Kluyveromyces lactis: one gene and its partners. The main gene of each other region encodes a partner of the protein of the gene in region 3 in a complex. Links are inferred from orthologs where the notes say so. Each region holds a gene or a part of one and is shown on either strand. Other genes may lie near its edges. The genes, in order: MAK3, MAK31 and MAK10.

Evidence for each region.
Region 1: the proteins of MAK10 (region 3) and MAK3 are in contact, whole or in part, in a crystal structure (PDB 6YGB), measured with the Saccharomyces cerevisiae proteins. The link is inferred for Kluyveromyces lactis from reciprocal best matches to the Saccharomyces cerevisiae genes MAK10 and MAK3. Residues at the interface, in NP_010861.3 of Saccharomyces cerevisiae: Pro35, Glu36, Ala37, Ile38, Asp45, Leu46, Phe47, Gly49, Thr50, Ser52, Leu53, Glu54, Lys59, Leu60, Asp104, Tyr105, Gln106, Glu173, Asp174, Pro284, Arg286, Thr289, Gln332, Asn403, Cys405, Gln409, Leu455, Asp456, Ile457, Lys459; in NP_015376.1 of Saccharomyces cerevisiae: Ile10, Arg11, Lys20, Asp24, Leu27, Ser28, Glu29, Pro30, Tyr31, Ser32, Ile33, Tyr34, Val35, Arg37, Tyr38, Asn41, Gln42, Lys98, Glu101, Ile104, Asp105, Gln108, Glu131, Gly132, Met133, Gly134, Ile136, Arg137, Met138, Lys139.
Region 2: the proteins of MAK10 (region 3) and MAK31 are in contact, whole or in part, in a crystal structure (PDB 6YGA), measured with the Saccharomyces cerevisiae proteins. The link is inferred for Kluyveromyces lactis from reciprocal best matches to the Saccharomyces cerevisiae genes MAK10 and MAK31. Residues at the interface, in NP_010861.3 of Saccharomyces cerevisiae: Asp4, Ser5, Gly8, Ser9, Ile12, Asp15, Phe16, Asp17, Gln18, Leu19, Val20, Asp21, Val22, Thr23, Leu25, Phe26, Asp27, Leu29, Cys30, Leu33, Lys34, Pro35, Ala37, Ile38, Val39, Lys40, Asp41, Phe44, Glu48, Gly49; in NP_009948.1 of Saccharomyces cerevisiae: Leu4, Lys5, Leu6, Ser7, Phe9, Ile10, Leu14, Ile15, Leu18, Thr19, Glu20, Arg22, Ile23, Leu24, Val25, Leu28, Val29, Ala30, Val31, Asp32, Ala33, Met35, Leu37, Leu38, Glu44, Arg45, Gly47, Ser48, Arg51, Met52.

Annotation. Positions count from the first base shown.
Region 1 is NC_006038.1:1,056,920-1,063,594, reverse strand, and holds MAK3 (peptide alpha-N-acetyltransferase MAK3), read left to right. Parts: upstream 1-5,201; coding exon 5,202-5,738; downstream 5,739-6,675. Other genes in the region: TAH18 (NAPDH-dependent diflavin reductase), read left to right, coding at 1-1,595; autophagy protein ATG11, read right to left, coding at 1,597-4,737; POL30 (proliferating cell nuclear antigen), read right to left, coding at 5,825-6,601.
Region 2 is NC_006037.1:973,435-979,793, forward strand, and holds MAK31 (Mak31p), read left to right. Parts: upstream 1-2,019; coding exon 2,020-2,295; downstream 2,296-6,359. Other genes in the region: E2 ubiquitin-conjugating protein UBC8, read right to left, coding at 321-924, 1,091-1,095; HTL1 (Htl1p), read right to left, coding at 1,397-1,642; MAK32 (Mak32p), read right to left, coding at 2,352-3,410; protein anchor VAC8, read right to left, coding at 4,661-6,359. UniProt on the Saccharomyces cerevisiae protein: Component of the NatC N-terminal acetyltransferase, which associates with the ribosome to acetylate nascent protein chains in a cotranslational manner.
Region 3 is NC_006037.1:171,275-179,565, reverse strand, and holds MAK10 (Mak10p), read left to right. Parts: upstream 1-3,588; coding exon 3,589-5,949; downstream 5,950-8,291. Other genes in the region: mRNA splicing protein SYF1, read left to right, coding at 1-1,108; AFG1 (Afg1p), read right to left, coding at 1,228-2,751; RPL12B (60S ribosomal protein uL11), read left to right, coding at 6,837-7,334.

The DNA of each region.
Region 1 (6,675 bases), on a different chromosome or scaffold from region 3:
ATCTTTTAGATCATGTTAACGTTGCCATGCTTGGGTTGGGTGATTCCTCGTATCCAAGATTCAACTTTGGTATCAGAAAGCTTCATGAACGTATTGTCAATCAACTTGGCGCTAGTGAGATTTTTCCACGCTTAGAAGCTGATGAGTTGGGACTTGCTGGGAGTAATAAGGATACTGGAAATGGAGTTGAATCCGTCTACTATGAATTTGAGAAAAGAATCATCGCCTACATGTTAGAGAAGTACCCCAACAGAAAGCACGATGGCAAAATGATGCCCAGAGTAGGCCTAGCCGAAGATGTTTACTTGAAACCGAGCAATATATTAGAAATATCCACTGTTAATGGATCGACAAATGATCAGCTACCTGATTCTAAGATTCAATTTGTTGGAGATGAGACAATAAGACATGGAACCGTTAAGAAAAACAACCAAATAACTGCTAAAGATCATTTTCAGGACGTTCGACAATTTGTGTTTGAAACCGAGGATCATGAAGCCTATCATCCAGGCGATACAGTTTCTTTATATCCCGAAAATTCAGACAATGACGTTGAATTATTCCTCGAAGCTCAACCTCATTGGAAGAAGGTCGCTGATGAACTTCTTACAATAACAGACCTGGAAAATTGTGATCGGTTCAGAGATGGTGGTGTTGTGAAACCACTTACTCTAAGAACCTTGTTAAAATATCATTTTGATATCGTCAGTATACCTAGGCAGAGCTTCTTCATGAAAACTTGGACTTTTGCAAATGCTCACGAAGATAGACCAACCGATCAAGAGCTATTAGAACAACAGAGGGATAAACTAAGACAGTTCGGGTATGGACAAGACCTACAGGACTTGTATGATTATTGCAATAGACCAAGAAGATCAGTATTAGAGGTTATACAGGATTTTGAATTCTTAAAACTTCCATGGGAGTTCGCATTAGATTATCTACCCATGATAAAGCCCAGATTTTATTCCATCTCAAGTGCACCATCTGATCCTAATGTTGAACTAACTATTGCTATTGTTCGTTATAAGACTTTGTTAAGAAAGGTACGGAAAGGACTATGCACGAACTACCTACTTACATTAACCGAAAACGATACAGTTCGTTATAAACTTCAAAATAATCATTTACTTCATGAAGATATTATTGGCAAACCTATCATCATGACTTCTCCGGGGGTAGGTCTCGCACCAATGAAGTGCTTGATCGAGTCTAATTTATTCAAGGATCAGTACTTATTTTTTGGTAACAGAATGAAGGATAAGGACTTTTTATATGAAGATACGTTATCTATGTGGAAGAAAGAAGGTAAAATTAATTTATTCACTTGTTTTTCGCGGGATCCCATAAATTCTCCTCATGCTAAGTATGTTCAAGATCAGTTGTGGAATCAATCTAGTCTAATAGCAGACCTAATTTTGAAAAAATCTGCCATAGTATATATTTGTGGATCCTCCGGTAAAATGCCAGTTCAGGTTAGGTTGACTATAGTTGAGATCCTGAAAAAACATGGAAACTTCGAAAACGCAGAAGAAGCCGAGCATTATCTAAAAGAAATGGAAAGAACTGACAGGTATATGCAAGAGACATGGTAGTTCAGTCAAGATTGAAAAAAGCGTCAACTTCATACCACACGGTATTTCTTGGAAACTTAAAGGGGTTCTTTGAATCATCTCCAACCACATGCTTTTCCAAGGCCGAGATTCTACCCATTGCCCATTCCCTATCTTTCAATAATTCGTAATTAGACGTTGAGTTTCTAAGAACGTATTTGATATCAGTATTTGTCGCAGTGAAAATTGCCCATACAACATGCTTCTTGGCCGAATCTTGGGTGTTAACATTGAATGTATCCGGTCTGCCATTAGCGTTGAGTGCAGGATTCCTGTTCGCTTTACTTAATGGAATATTTTCTGTGATAGAAGCAGAGCTTCCGTTAAGAATGCTAGCTGCAATATCAGACTTGACAACATTTGGACGTTGCATAACAGACTGTGTAGATGAGTTTAAATCAATGGATGAAAATGAAGAATTTAGCGACGATATTGAAGAATTTAATAGCAATTCCTGATCGTTGATTGGTAAAAAAAGAGCAAGATCTCCCGGTTGGAAGTTATATATTGTAATTTTGTCTCTAGCACTTTTCTGCAAAAGGAGTTTTTTATTCTTGTTCTCTTTCCTAAGCTTTTTCGCCAAACTTTCGATATCATTGAACCTGCGGATCACTGACGTTTCGAACAATTGGTTACCAAATAGTTTTTCTATGTAGGTAATGAAATTTTCATGAGGTTTGTAGTCAATCTGATCCTTTATAGATTCGAAAGTACTCTTTATTTCTTGTGCAATTACACTTTTTGCCATGGAACTATTCATATCAGCCAAACTTGAATCCAGATCTTTTCTTAAACCTTTGACGCGAACAATTTGAAAGTTTCCATCTTGATCTTTGGAAAGTAACAACCCGATACTCGCCAAAATGAAAATACTACCTTGGAAAACATCATATAAAGTTTTTTCCAATTGCTTATTAAAGTTGATAAACTCTGCATCAATTGTTTTGCTTTTTGATATTTGCAATTGGTTAAGATCTTTTTTAAGACTTTCAACTTCTTCTTGCAAGGAAGCCCGTTCCTGTTCTGCTTGAACTTCTTGGGTTGCCATATTGACAAGAAGATCTTCTTTCATTTTGTTTAAATCCTCGGATTTCCGTCGGGATTCTTCAGATTCCCTTACAAGTTCCTCATTTTGCTCAAAGAGGGATCCTAAATGCTTCTTGAAATTCTCCGAACGAGAATTCATTTCAGAATAGAAGTTTTCGCGTTCAATCAACAACGTTGATAATTCTTTGTTTAAATTTGTCATGGATTCTCTGTAAGCATTTTTCTCGACCTCCATATGGGAAAGTTGACTTTTAAGTGTTGAAAGTTCAGTTTCAAGGGTCTTGGTTAATTCAGAGTATTTGCTTATATCCTTTTGCAGGTTTTGAAATTCCTCGAAGGTTTTATTTGATTCGTGTTGTTGTTTGGAACTTGGGAGATCGAATGTTGAACTTTGCTGTAACTTTGTGCTCACGGTACTATTGCGGAACATTTGGACCATTGCAGTTTCCTTATTCAGAATGCCAGCTGGCCATGAGTCGTACTGATGGAACTGTGCATCAAGTAATAAATGTTCTAGCTTTTTGATACGAGCCTTGTATCCTTCAATGATAAGCTCCGAGTCCTTCGAGAGCGCGTAATCTGTAGGTAAATGCAAGCCTGTCAGCTCCGCCTGCGAGACTTTTGACTTAAGTAAATTAATTGTAGGTTCACCTAAGTTCAATGAAGCAAGTTGATTAATATAATCTTTAATCTGAGACAATGTCACCTGTTTATGATCACTTATGGACGGAATGTATACTGATGATGGTAGCAAACTATCAACATCTAGAAATCGAGTTATCCATTGGAAATCTTTGTACCAAGAGTTTCTTTGTCGTACTTCGTCATCCAAAAGATGCTGCAATGAAGATTCATGTTGTTGTCGAAGTTGAGAGTAACGGTCTGTCCAGAGCTGCTCTCTGTATAACTCAATCAAATACAATCCATAACACATAGGCAAATCCAATACTTGAGATAATTTCAGTTCTTCATTCTTCAAAAACTTCATATTGGTCTTAACGTCTTTAGTTAACACCGACTTCACCATTATTACGCTCATCTGCGATTTTGCAACGGAAAGGTACAACTGTTGCAACTTCTGCTGGACAGTAGCTTTTGTATCTAAATTCGTGGAAGCTTTATTGAACATTGCTTGCGAAATTGTTTGTAATTTGGGGACATGTACACTTTTGAATGTTTCAAACTTCTCTTTTGAAGCATCTTTAGAAGCCTCTTCTTTATATTGATTTGATACAAGCTCAATCTCTGTAGCCATTTCTTTAAATCGTTCAACCATTTGGTTGTCCATATCATCAGAACTGACAACTGAATTTTTTTTCACATCATCTAAATCTGAGATTAACTGTGTTCTCTGCTGGTAGCATTCATCAATACTTTTCTTTAACTCCTTTAACTTCGCATTTAGTTCACGATCCAGACGGTGAATGGAATCCTCGATCTCTGTTAGCTCGCTATAATTGAAAAATGATGATAATAACTGATTAGAAACTTTAATATTGCCGAGAATATTATCATAAAAGGAATGCCATTGATTTGAGGCACCATCTTCGTGAAGCTTGTTAAGAAAATCAACGTTGCCATTATACAGCACCTCCACTTCATAGCAGTAGTTTTTCAAATACTCAAGCATAACAGTACCACACTCTAATAACCGTTGAACGTCTTGATAAGTTTCTTTTATAACGTCCTGGAAAAATTCAACGTCTGATTGCAAAGCCTTCAACCACCCTAAATTCCGTAGAATGACATTTTTATCCAACTGTAACGAATCGCTTATCGGCGATGGCAAAGGTTTGAAAAGTTGGAACCTTGGCTTTGGGGAAAACTCGATCTCCTCATTGAATATTCCACGGTCAAATACGTATATTTCTTCCAATCCTTCTTGTTGCAGCTTTCTGGAATCCCATCCTGCTTTCTTCAATATCATTCCATAAGGTAACAATAGAAGTATGTCATCGAGCGGTATCTGGAAAGTATCACTTGCAAACTGTTTCAAATCTAAGAAACTAGGGAAATAAACATTAGATAATTGGTGTGAAACTCCTGATGTAGCACATATCAACTTGCATGGCGGCATTATTAATAAAATTATCAGATTGTAACCTTAAGACTTTGGAAAGAAATAAAGGGACAATGTCGATTTAATGATGATGAAATGGGGGGTGTTAGCTCACAGGATTCTATATCATGAGTATTCTTTAAATGCTGAGATATATCTAATCTGGAGTACTAAAGCCGTAAGCAACAAGTGGAATAAGAGCCGATAAACGTCAGGGGACTGAAAAACTATGTAACAGGTTTTCTCACCTATAAAACTTACCGGGGGGTCCATATAATCTTTTTTCGAATCAGTTTGGTGAAGCAAGAGCACGTGACTGATATGCTTTTATTATAAAAATTTGGTTTTAAACCTCCAGATGATGAGATAAACAGTTTTAAGTAAAGCTTTTTATATTCGCTAGCTTCGGCAGCATCTACTCTCATTGATATAACTAATTAAAAATTAATAAGAAAGTATACTGCAGATAAACTAAGCAAAGGATGGTCGAAATAAGGTACACACGATTCGATATCAGTAATGACATGGAGTTTTCCACCATCAAGAAATTGATCGATGAGGATCTCAGTGAGCCATATTCGATATACGTGTACAGATTTTTCCTAAACCAATGGCCGAACCTAACGTATTTGGCATGGGCAGAAGGATCGGGTAAGCCCATAGGATGTATAGTATGCAAGAGCGATACTCATAATGGAGTGCGGTTAAGAGGATACATTGGCATGTTAGCAGTGGAGAAACAATATAGAGGCCGTGGGATAGCGAAAAAACTAATTACCTTAGCTATAGATACTATGATTGATGAAAAATGTGACGAGATTATGTTGGAGACTGAATGCAGCAATGCAGCTGCTTTGCATTTATACGAGAATATGGGCTTCATCAGAATGAAGAGATTATTCCGGTATTATTTGAACCAGGGAGATGCGTTTAAACTCATTTTACCGATTACAGAGAAAAGTTGTGTGAGAAGCACATTCCTGGGGATGGATTCCTTTCCTACCGACACCATACTCTAAAGTAAATTGAATTGATTTTATATCAGTAATTGTCATTTTAATACACACACAATATATATATATATATAGCATTGCGAAAAGAGATTTCATTCCTCTTCATCGAACTTTGGAGCCAAATAGAATTGCAAATTACCGCTTGAGATATCGAATTGGAAAAGGGCTGGCGCTTCTTCCGATAATTTTATAGTGATTGTATCTGATAGAGAGGACCCCTTAATGATGTCGTTTAAATATTTAGCACCGAACCTTAAATCTACTGGTTTTTCTATGGTAACTTTAATTGAACTTTCAGGATGATCCAAATCGGTGAAAGGTTTCACAACAATGGACCCACTTCCGATATCACCTTCTGCGGCGAATTTGATGGTATCCTTAGTGACTAAGATGTTAATAGAATCACTCAATTGACTTAAGTCACGTACGGTCTTCGCGAAATCAGCAGATGGCATTGTAATATAGGATTCATATTTCATATCAGAGATCTCCAAGAAATCTGTTTCGATTTCCATCAATTTTAAAGAGTATTCACTGACACGGTCTCTTTTTGTATCTTCGAATAAGATTAGAATAGAATCTGGAGAATCTTCAGCGATAAGCGTTAGATTGTCCGAATTGTTACCACAACGAAGAATCTTACTCAAGTTCGTCAAATCGCAACCTAGCACGACATTTCTGTCCGCTCTAAACTCTTCAAATGCTTCTACATTGATGGAAAGAGAGACAAGGAGGACACGAGAGTCATCGACGGCTTGTGCAGCGATACCCTTTTCTGAACAATTGAAGTTAATCAATTGGACACAGTCTCTAAAGGAATCGATAATTCTTTTGAATAACCCAGCTTCTGTGAATTTAGCTTCTAGCATTGATAATAGGTAGGTCTGTTTGATGTCAGAGGTGAGAAGTGAATACTCTTGGACTATCGAGAGGAGCAGTAGTT
Region 2 (6,359 bases), about 800 kb from region 3:
ACTATGGGAAAATTGCGGGGAACCACGTGACTCACACGAGTTATTCCATTTGCGGCACACAGTTGCAACTGGTGATTCCAGCATCCAGACGTTAACCGTATAACTGGAGGATATAGGTCCTCTCTCATGGCTTTAATTTCTCAGTTTTCAGTTGAATATACATGTATATATTACTTGAAATGGTATTATGTCCAAGGTTTTGTCCCTCAGTTTCTTTTATTGGAAGTTCAGGTTTAGATATCAATAGTTGGAGTGAATGCAGTATATGCTAGTTTTGATGGATGAAGTGGATATGAGCATTAACTTTTAACTTTCAAATTTCAATCGTCGTCGTCACTGACTTCTATATCACTTAGTTCCATACTATCGTTATCGTCATGTGCTTGCTCGTCGTCTGATTCGTCCATATCCGCATCCTCATCCTCATCATCTGTATCATCGGAACTGTTCCATTTCCCAAACTGCTGTATGTATTTTTCCTTGGTAGCGTATTTGTTGATGTATTCATGTATCTTTTGTTCATACATATCTTTATCCTTCAGTTGCAACGTTGCTGCTTCGTTATTCAAAGGGTCCGACCCATTTGGCTCCTTCAACAACCCTGGGATCATCCATTCCACGATGTTTAAAAGGTCGTATAGCGGAGACCACGTAGAGTTGATCACGTCCAAACAGATCGACCCGGATGCAGCATCGATGTTCGGATGGAATATCTTGTTGACAAACCCTATACTGGGCGATTTGTAAGGATAGTTGTCAGGTAACTCAACGTGTAACCTCCACACCCCCTTTTCATACGGTGTATCCTTGGGACCATGAAATTTTATATGGAACTCTTGCATCTTATCTTCAACCAACTCAACGTCATGATCACTCATCAAAAGTTTCATGACGTCCGTTTCGATCCTCCTTTTTGAATTAGAACTGATTTCAAAAATGTAAACTTGTCGTTTATACACAAGTATATCGTGTAACGAGCCATTCAAGATTATAGTTAGTATTCTGAACAGATCATTCAAACTTTAGTCATAAAAGATACTGAGACACAGCATCTTAAAAAAAAGAAAAAACTCCATTTCAACGAACATACCTCATCTTTAATTAATAAGCTTGACCGTAGCGTGCCTATCGAATACAATAACGCGATATCAGCACCAAACGATTCTATTATCGTTGTCTTAACGCCTGGAACAGCAAAAGATGATGAGTGCTTTCCTTGTTGAAGGGGTTAGCAACTTAAAAGGATCTTTTTGAAGTTCACTTTCCACAATTTTCAAATTCAATGATGGCAGAAGACAGGAAGTCACGTGACAGGAAGAGCAAAAAAAATAGAATACAATGCACAAAAGAGAACCTCTCGGAATTGGGCAGCTTGTATCATAGCATCCCCGTCTTATTAATCTGATTCTGATTTCAAAGTCTCAACTTCTTGTTGTACCGATTGAAGCCTTTTCCTCAGAGAAGCCAGTTTCTTTTCGCGGTCTTCTGACGAACCAAGAAACAATTCGGTTCTGCTACTGTCGTCCAACAAGTTGAAAAGCTCCACCATATTAGCTCTTCTAGACAATAGGTCTTCTGCTGTGATTGTCTTGAGATTGACTTTCAAATCTTGTGGTTGTTCGGTTCCTTGCGTGGTGGTCATTGCGAAATACGATAATACTTTGATAAAACACTGACAAGATGTCGAAAATAACCAGAAGACACAATGGTTGCAGCTAATACGAGTAAAGCTTTCTGAAATGATATCAATTCCAGCGGATACTGAGTCGTTGATACTGAGTCGTTGATACTGAGTTGCTTAGTGAGAAAGAACGAGGATTTCAACGAGCATCTGAACAGATGTAGATGTTTATATCTGTTTAAAACTAGAGATTTCCCATTAAAAAAAAAAAATACGTAAAAGTATATGAAATGAGTTTAGTGCAGAGATTGAAATCTGGCAAACTACCTCAAAGATGAGAAACTGGGCAACGGCAACGCATCAACCAGTTATCATTATCACTCGCATAATTTACATTAATGACAGATTTATCTAACGTACACTTACACGATTTACTGAGCGAAACTTTGTACATAAACTTGGATCAGAAACGATCTTTGACCGGGAAGCTCATCGCTATTGATTGCAAAGCAAACCTTCTACTGGATGAAGTGGTCGAAAATAATGACGGCCATGTACGGAAGATGGGTTTAGTAAGTGTACCATTTGTTTCTGTACGGTCCGTAAAAGTTAGAAGGGAACTGGTCGACACTATCAATGCTCTGAAATTGAATATTTCTTCCCAATACGTATGATAATACAAATTAAAATAAAAAACTGATCTAACTGTTCCCAATAGGTACCTACAGACTTAATATTTCATTGGTTGAAGAGAGTTCAATATTTCACTGTGGCCCTGCTTCAGTTCATAAGTGGATAAATAATATAATAATCTATCTGCAAAAGTCGTTTTATTCCAGTGCATTCCATTGTGAGATGGTACACCGATCTGTTCGATGGCACAACCTGCAGCAATATTGCCACATATACTGGCAATTGAAATGTCTTTACACATGGCGTATGCGAATGCAAATGCTCCAAGGAAAGTATTTCCGCCTCCTGTTGGATCAATGACACATTCTGGAGTCTTGTAATGGTATGCTGGGAAATGGATAATGTCATCGTTTGATGGATTTTTATTGCAAATTAAGGCCAATGACCCTTTTTTACCACATCTGAGGACACAAATGTTACCAGGTTTAATCAATGCTGCTAATTTCAATAATATTGTGCTGCAATCCGAAAGTTCAGTTGGCTCTGTTTCACCCAGCATCCTAGCGCCTTCTTCCGCATTTGGCGAAAAGATGAAATGGTATGGTCCGTTGAGCAACTTCTTAATCCCTTCGAGGTGCTCAACGTTACACAAATCTGGTATTGGTTCCCATATAAACGTTTGACCTGTTTTCAGAGTTCCCTCAAATGACAACTCTTCGGCAAGCTTATCCAGAATATCGGCCACTCTATCAGCAGAACATAGCAAATGATAGCATGAAACTCTTTGTACTGCTTTGACACCGAACGACTCGCACCAGTCAGAAACATCTATTCTTTTCTTTGGCGCTAGATATTTGAATGATCTAAAATCATTCGGACCATATACGTTATAACCTCTTGTAGTTAATCTTTCATTGTCATCTCGAAACACACAACCCGTGTCCCAAGATTCGATAGTCTCCGTCAGTTGCTTAGGGAAATCCATTCCACGATCAACAATCCATAGCAGTTCCTTGCGCAGAGATAGGTCAGTACAGCATATTGATGCGCCTAACATGGCATACGTCCCACCTCCACCTAGTACGTCGTAATAGTGCGATGACGCCGTCTCGATCTCATCGATGATAAGCATCCCATTGGTAGTAAGAAGACCCATATTGGCAATGACTGCTTAATTCCGTTTACACCTGAAAATTATAGTGATGGGCGGTAGGTCTCATTATACTGCAGTTGACCATGTATATTTCTTATCAGAGTTCTTTATAACTTCGAAATAAATTCTTTGATAATGTTTCGTTCTTATCTCTGAGCATCAACACCTGACTAGTAAGAACCGGGCAATTATTGCATCATTGAAGACGAATCTATGTCTATGGAAAACAGATAGTAACAAAGATAGCATTGGAATATGTTGTAATGCTGGTAGGGAAGAAGTAGGTTTAAAAAGATGGACCTCTATTGACAACTCTCTACTCAAATATAGATGGAACGAGAATTAATAACAAACATCGTTAATTTGTTAGCGCCGTGGCGCAGTGGAAGCGCGCAGGGCTCATAACCCTGATGTCCTCGGATCGAAACCGAGCGGCGCTATTATTACTTTTTAGTTTTTTATCATCAATCAAACAGATAAAGGTCTTGTATGCCAAAGGAAACTATCAAACGCTACATAAACGACCACACCCTATAACGTGAATTTGTCGTTGTGCGTTGCCATGTCCCAAAGGAGTTTTCTTATTTGAAACATACATTATTAGATTAAATTATGATTATACAATGCATAAGTGTTACCTTATAATTATTAAATACAGCGGGATCTTTCTCTCTGAAATATCAATGGATCAGCGAAAAGTACATGTATGCTATCTCTAATTCATTCTTCTAAACTTTCTTTTAAGGGCAGGTCTTGTTACGTGTTTGACTTGGAATATGTAGAAGTAGCCTGGGGAATATAAAATAAATGAAAATGATACCAATGGTATTTTGTGGATACAATATGATCAATAAAGTGAAAGTAGGAAAGAAAAATTACACTTAATATCGTTTCAATAGAGTGAAGACAATAGAGTCAAAGTACCAATAAACTCAGGCGTTAGACATAATATGAGGCGGGTCTAGCAAACATTAATGTGATAAACAACAATAAAGAAAAAAACAGAAGAGGAATGGACTACAGGATAGTGAACAATGCAAAATGGGGAGGACTTTAAAAGACAAACAAAACAAAATAGAAAGAAAAGAAATATGGCAGATGGGAAAAGAGAATTGAAAATATTCTTCACTGTCCCAGGTCAAAAGAGCCAGCTTGTAATTAATTTTTATAATTTTTAATTTTTTAATATTTTTTTTCTTGTAGAAATAATTTCTTGTGTTTTTAATTTTTGGAGCTGTTAAGAATCTATCATATCATACTAAGAATTGAATAATTTGTTGAGTAATGTTGTACAACTCGAAAGAAGCATCTTCCTTTTCACTAGACTGCTTGTTAGATCTCCCATTGCCTTCTATATTGTTCGAATTTCCATTGTGATCAATGTTGGTATCTTGTCCATCTTGCATGTATTCCCTAGCCACAGCGTAGTTTTCATCAGCGATTTTCTTGACCCCGTTGACGAGTTTTTGATCTTCTTTAATTAACTTGTAAATGGTTTCGTTGTGACATTCAAATAGTTGTAAAATGGTCCATAGAGCAATATGTTCATAGGTAGGGAAGTCACTAGACAAGAATCTGATCAAGAAACCCTTGATACCATCGTTTGGTTGACCCCAGTACTCCAATATTTTCTCTAAATTGCTGACCCTAGAGATCAAGTTTGCTACAGCAGCAGCAGAGTTACCAGAGATCTCTTGGTCCTGGGACATTGTCATTGGGATCAAAACTTTTAGTACGTCTTGTTGCAAAAGATCATATTTAGTATTATCTGAAAGTGCCAAGATAGCAAAGCAAGCACTAATTTCACTTTGAACGCTGATGGGACATGTCAAGGCAAGTTGCTTGAATTTTTCAATTACACCAGATTGGAAGAACTCTGCTCTATTTTTTTCAGATGAAGCAGCCAAGTTTCTTAAAGTTGAAACAGCATGACATTGAATTTCTTCTGATTCTTGGTAATCAAGCAATTTTACTAAAGGTGGTAGAAATCCGGCATCTACAATTAGACCTTCGTTTAATGGATGGATGGAAATATTTCTGATACATGCGACGCTGGCCAAGACTAATGGTAAAGAATCCGACTGAATCAATTGAACCAAGTCTGGTAATCCACCAGCTCTAACAATCTCCAATTGGTAGTTGGTATCTGAAGCTAAGTTTCTCAAGGCCAAAGTAGCTTGACATTTCACACGAGGTGAAGTAGAGTTCATCAAAGATACAAGCTTGGTGACCAGTTTTGGTGCATGCTTTGAAAGGTATCTTCTATTGGACTCATCGACAGCAATGTTTGACAAAGCTGTCGTACAGTAATATTGAACGTCAGCGTCCATGCTGGAGAGTAAAGAGACAAGAACTGGGACTGCACCAGCATCGACCAATTCCTTTCTGTTTTCTCCAGAGTGAGTCATATTTAACAAAGCTCCAGTAGCATTTCTTTGAACTCTGATATTTGAAGATCTAGCCAACTTTGTTAATGGTACCAAGGCACCCGATTGGGCAATTTCAATCTTATTGTCATCTTGAGTGGCCAAGTTGGTAATACACCCGACAGCATTACACTGCACTTCCACGTTATCAGATTTCATTTGCTCAATCAAGGGTTCCAATCCACCCATTTCCACAATCAACAACTTATTTTCATTGTTAACAGCCAAATTACCCAACGCAGCACACGATGCAATCCTAATTTGTGGATCTGGGTTGGTCAATAGCATTAATATCGGCTCCAAAACGTCTCTGCTTACCGGACTAACATACTTCTCAGTAATCTCTGCAAACGCCAATGCAGCACTTCTTTGTAAATTCAAATTATCAGAATAAACCAACGTTGTTAAAGCCCGTAACGGTTTCCCCGAATAGAAATCGTATTGGTCCTTATTTTCTAAAAACTCCAACAACGACGTCACTGCTTCCCTTTCATTTTCTGCAATGGGCAACCCTGTCGAATCCTCG
Region 3 (8,291 bases):
GGTCTTGCTGGACAAAGCCACTAACGTCCCTTTCAAATTTTTAGTAGATCTTGAAAATGTTTGGTTATATTGGTGTGAATACAGACTAAAAAGAAGCATTGACGATGCCATAAAAGTTTTGTCCGTTGTATTAGAAATACCAGATAATCATGAATTACTCCTACAAAAATTTGAGAAAGGAGAATCGCCAGCACAAGCAGCAATTTTCTCATCTAAACGCTTATGGGCAATGTACCTTGACTTATTGGAGGTCAAAGGAAACTATGGTACAGCTGTAAATGCGTATGAAACAGCAATACTCATCAAGGCAGCAACACCAGCCATGTTTATTAATTATGCGTTATTAAATGAATCTTCTGGCCATCAAGCAGAAGCTTTGGCTGTTTTCGAAAGGAGTGTTGAGATTTTTCCTCCAAGCGTATCGAAGTCTATTTGGGATATATATCTGGATGTGGCACTCAAAGCTGATATCACTAAAGAGCAAAAAAGAGATATTTTTGAATCTGCTATTAAGCTTGCAGCTTCAGGAGTGGCATGTGTTTCGTTCTTTGAAAAGTACAGCGACTTTGAGTTAAACCTTGGTTTCCACGAGAGAAGTGTCGAGATTTTGCACAAAGGAGCCAAGAATATTTCGGATCTTGAAAGTAAATGTACTTTATGGGAAGAATGCATCAATAGAAGTGAAAAACAATTGGACGTCAATCACACCAGAAAACTATATGAAGAATGTATAGAAACATTGCCCAATTCTAAAGCAATCAAGTTTCTACTTCCATTTGCTATCTTAGAAGAATCGCGTAATGAGGTTGCTCGTTGTAGAGCATTGTTAGACTACGGGAGCAAATTACTGAAGCCCGCACAGAATGAAGAACTTTGGGATTTCTGGAGGAATTTCGAAACTATGCACGGTACAAAAGACTCGTTCAAGAACATGCTAAAAGCACGTAGGTTCCTAGAGGACACAATGAAAGTAAATACAGAGGAAGTATCCAGACATGCAGATAGCATCGAATTTAGGGCGTCAACTGCGAAAATTAGTGGAAGCGGACCACCAAGCGCAGAAGATAAAGGATACTCAAATACGGCTGAAATTGATTTAGGTCTATAAAATGGATATATATTGATTAAAGTTGATAATGGCATATCGATCAATCTCTTATGTTTTGTTTTGGAAGATGTCGTATTGTCTTTCTTTGATGACGTGTAACATACAAAAACACTAGTATCTTACTGTTTTTCGACCCAATCAGTTGAACTCATGTGGGATAATCTACTTAGGGCTCTTGCAAATGCAAACCGTTCTTCATCTAATGCGAAAATCTGTGCTTTTTTGGCAATATCCTTAGAAAATCCGTGTTTACTGACCAATTCATCCTCTACTTCAGGTTCATCTTCATGTTTCATTTGATCTGCTGGTTTAAGCTCATAGTCGTTGACAATATCTTCTGGTTCCACGAATAGTGAGGTGAAGTCATCTGCACCAGTGGTAGCTAATTTACCACCGTTATCGTAAACTGCATCCAAGAATGTAATGAACCGTCTAACTTCGTCACGTACGTATATGGTTAAGTATGGCAAATCTGTGACAACAAAGGACTTGAATGAGTTAGCCAAAGTTAAATAGTCACCAGCAGCCAAAGGTTCTCCACATAATTGTTTAAAGGTGAATTGTGCTACTCTCCCAGGTGTACATTTAGGAACGAGTAATTGTCTACCCCAGATAGTCAATGGATAGTTATATACAATGTCATGGCCATTTTCTGACTTACTGGGACGATGCAGTTGGGCAAAATAACTATACCATTGCTGTACGTGTAATTTCCTCGCCAATTCACACTCTTTTGAAAAATAGGATAAATTATGACTTGGATAGTAATAAACAGATGAAATTGGTCTTGGAATCTTACGATAATCGGTAGGAGAATCCAACAATACCACTTCGGTTCTTTCCTTTATCAGTTCAATACATGGAACAAACGATTCTCTTTGAACACCATTGATGTAAAGATCATCTGGCTTTCTGTTACTCGTTGCAAAGAGTACAACACCGTACTCTTTGGAAAGCAATGTAGTAATTAACCTCCGTAAAATCATGGCATCTGCCACGTCCGTCACTTGAAACTCGTCGAAACAAAGCACTCTAGAAGTGTTTGCAATCTCTGCCGCTAGAAATGGGATTGGGTCGATATCTCTTCCCTTAGCTTCACCCAAAGCATCGAAATTTTGTTCGGATATAATGTCATGAGATCTTTTATGCACATACTGCATGAACTGATGGAAATGTATACGTTTCTTTGACAAAGCTGGAGGAACTGTCAAATAGAACAACTCCATCAACATCGTCTTTCCACATCCTACATCACCGTATAAATATATACCCTTAGGAACACCCTCCGTCGAATACTTCTCTTTCCTTGCAAATAATTTCCCAAGAAACCCTGTTTTCCAGCCGACTTGATCTAGCACGCTTGGTGGTTGTACTGGTTCCGGATTGTACGAAACCAAAGAGTCGTGCAAATGACCTAAGGATTTGATGATACTCCGCTGATACGGATCATCTCTTAATTTTCCGAGCTTTACCAACTCGTCATATTTCGACAACGGTGTTTCCGTAACATCCGCAGATTGAGAAACCCACCGCTGTGCCAATACTTGTTGGAAAAGTCCAAAGGTATACCCTGGTCTTTCAACAAGACCGCTGCCAACTCTACTGACAAGAACCTTCTTACAACCCTGTGAAAATATCAGCATCGCTTGTCCTTGTACATGACCTTTTCCCAATTGCAATAGATTGTATCTACCTTAATTAACGATAGAGTAACTAGTGTATTATTTATGGACAAATAGTAATTCGGAAGTGCAGCTCTAATACAAAACGTTTCCAATTGCTAAGAAGTGAATATCTAACATTCACCATGGCCTTTACTTAAATACTTGTTAGTGGGGCATCGGTTTGAAGTGATAGTTTCTCAATGTCCCCCACTCTGAGGCCGCTTTAATTTTTTTTCTCCGATTTCGGGTTCTTATTCTACAGTAGAAACATGCTGCTGATCTCTATCTATTAAAGGTCTTCCTCCCCACCCCTCCCTGTCGCTATCTGAATACCCTGAATTCGACTTGTAAAGCTATGACTGACAGCTTTGTTTGCTTTGGTTGGTGAAAACTAGAGATCATCAATTGTTCGAGAATGACTGTTAGCATGCATGTCGATATTTACCAATAGATACTCCGCTCTTGCGTACATAATAACGTAACGAACATACGTTTTTAAGAAACAGTGTGGGGTACCAGACTTGCAAGTGCCTCTAGCAACTGGGAATAGTTTGTACAATGCATGGCTCTCACAGTACCTTGACTTTTCTTAGGTCCGATACTTTTGTTTTATGTTGTGTAGAGTTTATTACCTCTTTTCTACTAAATGTTTAAATCCTAATTTAACTTGTGAGATAGCTTAAGGCTTCCACACGATATCATGAATTAGAGAGATTAGAACAGAATATACAGTTGCGGTAGCACTAGACATTGCAAGATTTTAGGGTTTGATATCTTGGGGCAACTAAATTTGTTTCCCAGCATTCCTGATTATTGATGGTGGTTGAGAATAACATTGCAGAGTTGGCGAATTTAACGCTAGATCATCGAATGGATCCTAAAAACGAAGCCCAGTTTATAGACATCACAGATCATTTAAAGGCCCTAGCAGCGAAGTTGGCACCAGAGACAGTGGTCAAAGAAGCTACGTTCAATCTGTTCGAAGGGACTTATGCATTGGAAGTATGCAACGTGAAATTAGATACAAGCCTTATTGAGTTATGCCCTGAAGAGTTGGAATTCGACTGCAATGTACCATACGGGGACTCAAATAATGGAGAAAGGCTTGATTATGTCACTGCGGTTTGTGATCGATTATGTCGCTCTTTGATGAATTGGCTTCATGATTACCAAACTCTACCCACTACGGTGCTAAGTTGTCGATACGTCGAATTTCTTATGGAATTATACACTTCGAACCCGGTTTCATCGTTACAATCGTTCCAAGGATTACGCACGCGCGACCCCTTGTATGATCAAGTCTTGTGCAGCTTTGTGATAGGTGTTTGTTCATTCATAAAGTTCACTTCCAAAGTTTTGAAAGATGGTGGTGTTTACGAGGAGGAAGACTTGAACTGTAACGTTATGAGTTTGGATATGCTCTCTGGCGTGGACACAAAAGAAGTAATAGATTTATTGAACTCTTCGTTGCAACTGTTAGTTCAGTCATACTCAGAATCTACGCATCTACAAAAACTTGTTGATTTAGTCAAACATTTGTTGCACTTACCCAATTATCATTATCCCTCATGTCAGTCTTCGGTTTCTTCAGACTTACTACCTTTGCAAAAATCACTAGATATTATTTCTTCATTGGTACAAGACGATTATACTACTAAGCAGCATTCATACCCTCCTGGTTGTTTTTCCAAGGGCATTCAAAAGAGGCGTGATAATAACTTCCCACCAAAGGATCTCTTTGAACCTAAGGGAGACGAATATGTCTCTTATACTGAATTCATGAGAGATATCATAGCGGCATTATCGGTAAAAGATTGCAATACAGCGTTCGAAATCAGACAATATGTTTGGTTTTTCAACCGAATTAGACAAAGGACAGTCATGGCTCGTGCGTTACTGCAATCATATTTAATTAGAGAAGACACCATCTTAGACAAGTTTCGGTTTAACACGTTCAAGGATATGCACCTTTACGAGTTCTCATTAGCAGGAACAGCATTGTACGATGTAATATCCAGCCGCGAGCAAACAACAGATCGCGATAATATGATAGAAGCCTTGAATGAACTCTCATATTGCCTCCTTCGTTGGTATCAAAATATGCCACAAAATTCATGTAGGCATCGGCAAGGATTTAATAGACTATTACTCGACTGGGACTCCGTTCAAGCGCAATTTGAGCAATATGAAACCCAATGGCAATCAATGGGAATTGTAGATAGCATTACAAACATGGGGAATATCCCATTGATGCCAGTTTCAACATGGATTTACACTACAAAGTTGCTTATGATGATAGAATTCACTTTAGAAGGATTTCATTTGGAAGTTTACAAGCCTTGGGAATCCTTTACTCAGTACTGGTTCTGTTATTACTTGTCGAGTCACTTGGAATCAAACTTGAAAAGATTGCACGAGTTTCTGTTGCAGAAGATCAGTTACATTTTGAATTACAATAAGAGAATAAAGAAACTCAAGGCCGGCGAAAAGAAAGAGAATGCTAAAGCGCGCTATAGACATTTAACAGATAATGTTTTACCTCAACTAAGACTAAACGAGAGAACTGTCAATTTCTTTTTCATGAAATGCACAATATTTAAGTCTCTCTCCCTGGCTCAAGTATTCCAATTTGCACTACTTAAATCTTTCAACGTAATAGATTCTAAGAATGATGTGTCTACCCGATTCAGTTCCGATAGACTCATACATAAACTTAGATTTAAGACCTTTTCCTCAATTGGAATACCCGAGATCCCCACATTTGAACAATTCCAAAAGTCATTAAACGATTTTGTCATTGAACCACCATCAATTCATTCCAAGATACCCAAACTTCTGAACTTTATGAATACTGAATTAGAATCTGCCAAGAGTGCACTATCTACTATCATACAAACCATAGAGACTGGAGAAACAGATGATTCTCCAGTTTCTACCGGCACAAAACACGTGAAAGAACCGGCGTTACAATGGTATAAATCAATGCTTAACTCAACTGTTGCATTGAGTGTCAATGCATCCGTGTTAAAGACGAAATTGTCGGAAGATTTGAAGTCACATGACTTGCATGCCACTTACGACGTTGAACTCAAATTCACACCTAACGGTTGCTACTATTTCCCATTGTTGACAATTTCACCTAAGAAAGCAAGAAATGCTTTACCACACACCACATAATGGTGATATTGCATGTATATAAACGGCCATATAGAAATATCAGTGTACATCTGAATCGGTAATTGTATGAACCCTAATTTACCTGTGTGATAGTGACCGTGAAGGGTTCACAGACGAAAATAAACAAGAAAACATGAGACTGTGCAACATCAGTGCCTCCATATATTTTGTATAATATGTATGGGTGTATTTTCATTCCCCTTAAAAAAGTTCCCGAAAGAGAAGTTTTGAGAGAAATCCTGATATCACGTGACATAGGCATATTATTCGATTCCCTGCGTAATCCCAGCCAAAGGACAAGACCAAAAGCACTACCAAGCAGGCCTCATTAGATGTGCAACGATCTCAGCTCTGCGAGCAACTTTCTGGCCCATACTCTCTTACTTTTGTTCCGTTCTTCGTACCAAGAAATTTGCGTCCTTTTTGTCAAATTTCGAAAATTCCTTGGTGGAATCTATGTTGCATCCCCTTGCCTAACATCCCAATTCTTTCTAGGATAGTGGGCTTGGATGCCACTGGGAAGGAAAACCCAGACAGGGCCTCTGCCTAGTGGTTCCCATTACTGCCCGCCTTCCTGGAAGCTAGACAGAACTCCCCTGCCTAGCCGTTTCCCCAGGTGGCAGTCTGCCCAGTTCGAGCCTACAGGAAATTTTCCAAAGACGAGCACTGGGGGGATAATCCAACGTTTCAACACAATGGTAAATCTGTAAAAGTAAAGGAACTTTTCAATTACAATAACGATTATTATTCAAGATTGGTAGTTAATTTATCCATTGCATATATTATTATATATTATTATTAGTTGTTTTATATCAGCTTTACTTTAATATTACTTCTTGGTTTACGAAGTCTCCATACCCAAGTAGGATAGACGAATTAGACACAAAATGCCTCCAAAGTTTGATCCAAATGAAGTCAAGTACTTGTACTTGAGAGCTGTCGGTGGTGAAGTTGGTGCTTCCGCTGCTTTGGCTCCAAAGATTGGTCCATTGGGTTTGTCCCCAAAGAAGGTTGGTGAAGATATCGCCAAGGCCACCAAGGATTTCAAGGGTATCAAGGTTACTGTTCAATTGAAGATCCAAAACAGACAAGCTACTGCTTCTGTTGTTCCATCCGCTTCCTCTTTGGTTATCACCGCTTTGAAGGAACCACCAAGAGACAGAAAGAAGGACAAGAACGTCAAACACAGTGGTAACTTGCAATTGGAAGACATCATCGAAGTTGCTAAGCAAATGAGAGAAAAGTCTTTCGGTAAGAACTTGGCTTCTGTCACCAAGGAAATCTTGGGTACTGCTCAATCCGTCGGTTGTCGTGTTAACTACAAGAACCCACACGACATCATCGAAGCTATCAACGCTGGTGAAATTGAAATTCCAGAAAACTAAATTATATCCAATCACCAATTGTCTGAAAGAGGATAAATGCATTCCATCATTTCTGTATTTTCTAGTCTAGGGTTTTTATTACAATAAACAAAAACTTAATCTATTTTCGTTTTAACTCTCTACCATTCCATCCATCCATATGAATCAAGGTACTTACTATTAACAGGAATTATATTCCACTTTTCATTATTCTAATAAACAGAACGTTCCGGCCCAATCACTAACTTTTTATCACATCACAGGAACTATATTTGAACAGTACAATTATTCCATCCATCTTGGAACTAAACAACAGAACAACATGAATTTTCCAAAAAATCAAAGTTTATCGTTTCATATCAAATTTGATCCATATACTTCAAAACGTTTGTCTACACTCTGGAGCTTGGTTAAAGTGAATCATTGATTATTTCTCGATTGAATTTTGGAGTTCTGCTATGATTGAAGAATGGTATCGGTTTTCTCATTTTGTGGAAACGGAGCAAGTGAGATATCTTGTTTCTTAGTACACTTAGTAAGAAGTTTTGCTGATCCATCATCTGATATTTGTGGCAGCATATCCGAAGTATAGTTCTTTCGAGTTTTTTCAATGGTATTGATACTTTTATTTTCCAACGTACTAAGATCCAATTTAATAGCAAACAATATTAAATCTTTGTCTATTACTCACCAAGATATACCTGAAATCTCTTTTGTGAGTTGGTTATATTGGTCCATTTCACTGACAAACATTATATTCTTTCGACATTGTATTTCTCTTGTTTCACTTGTCGGATCATAATTTGAAATGAAGTATACTTTTCTGTGACTTTTAAGGGTTTTCATGCTATTGTTTAGTACTTGATAGCAAAATGGGACTGTACAAATATAGTTCTTTCTCTCATGTGATTGATTGACTTATGAGAAGCAGGTGCTTCTATTAGAAAATCGTTTACTTGTGGGCCCTGATTCTTATGG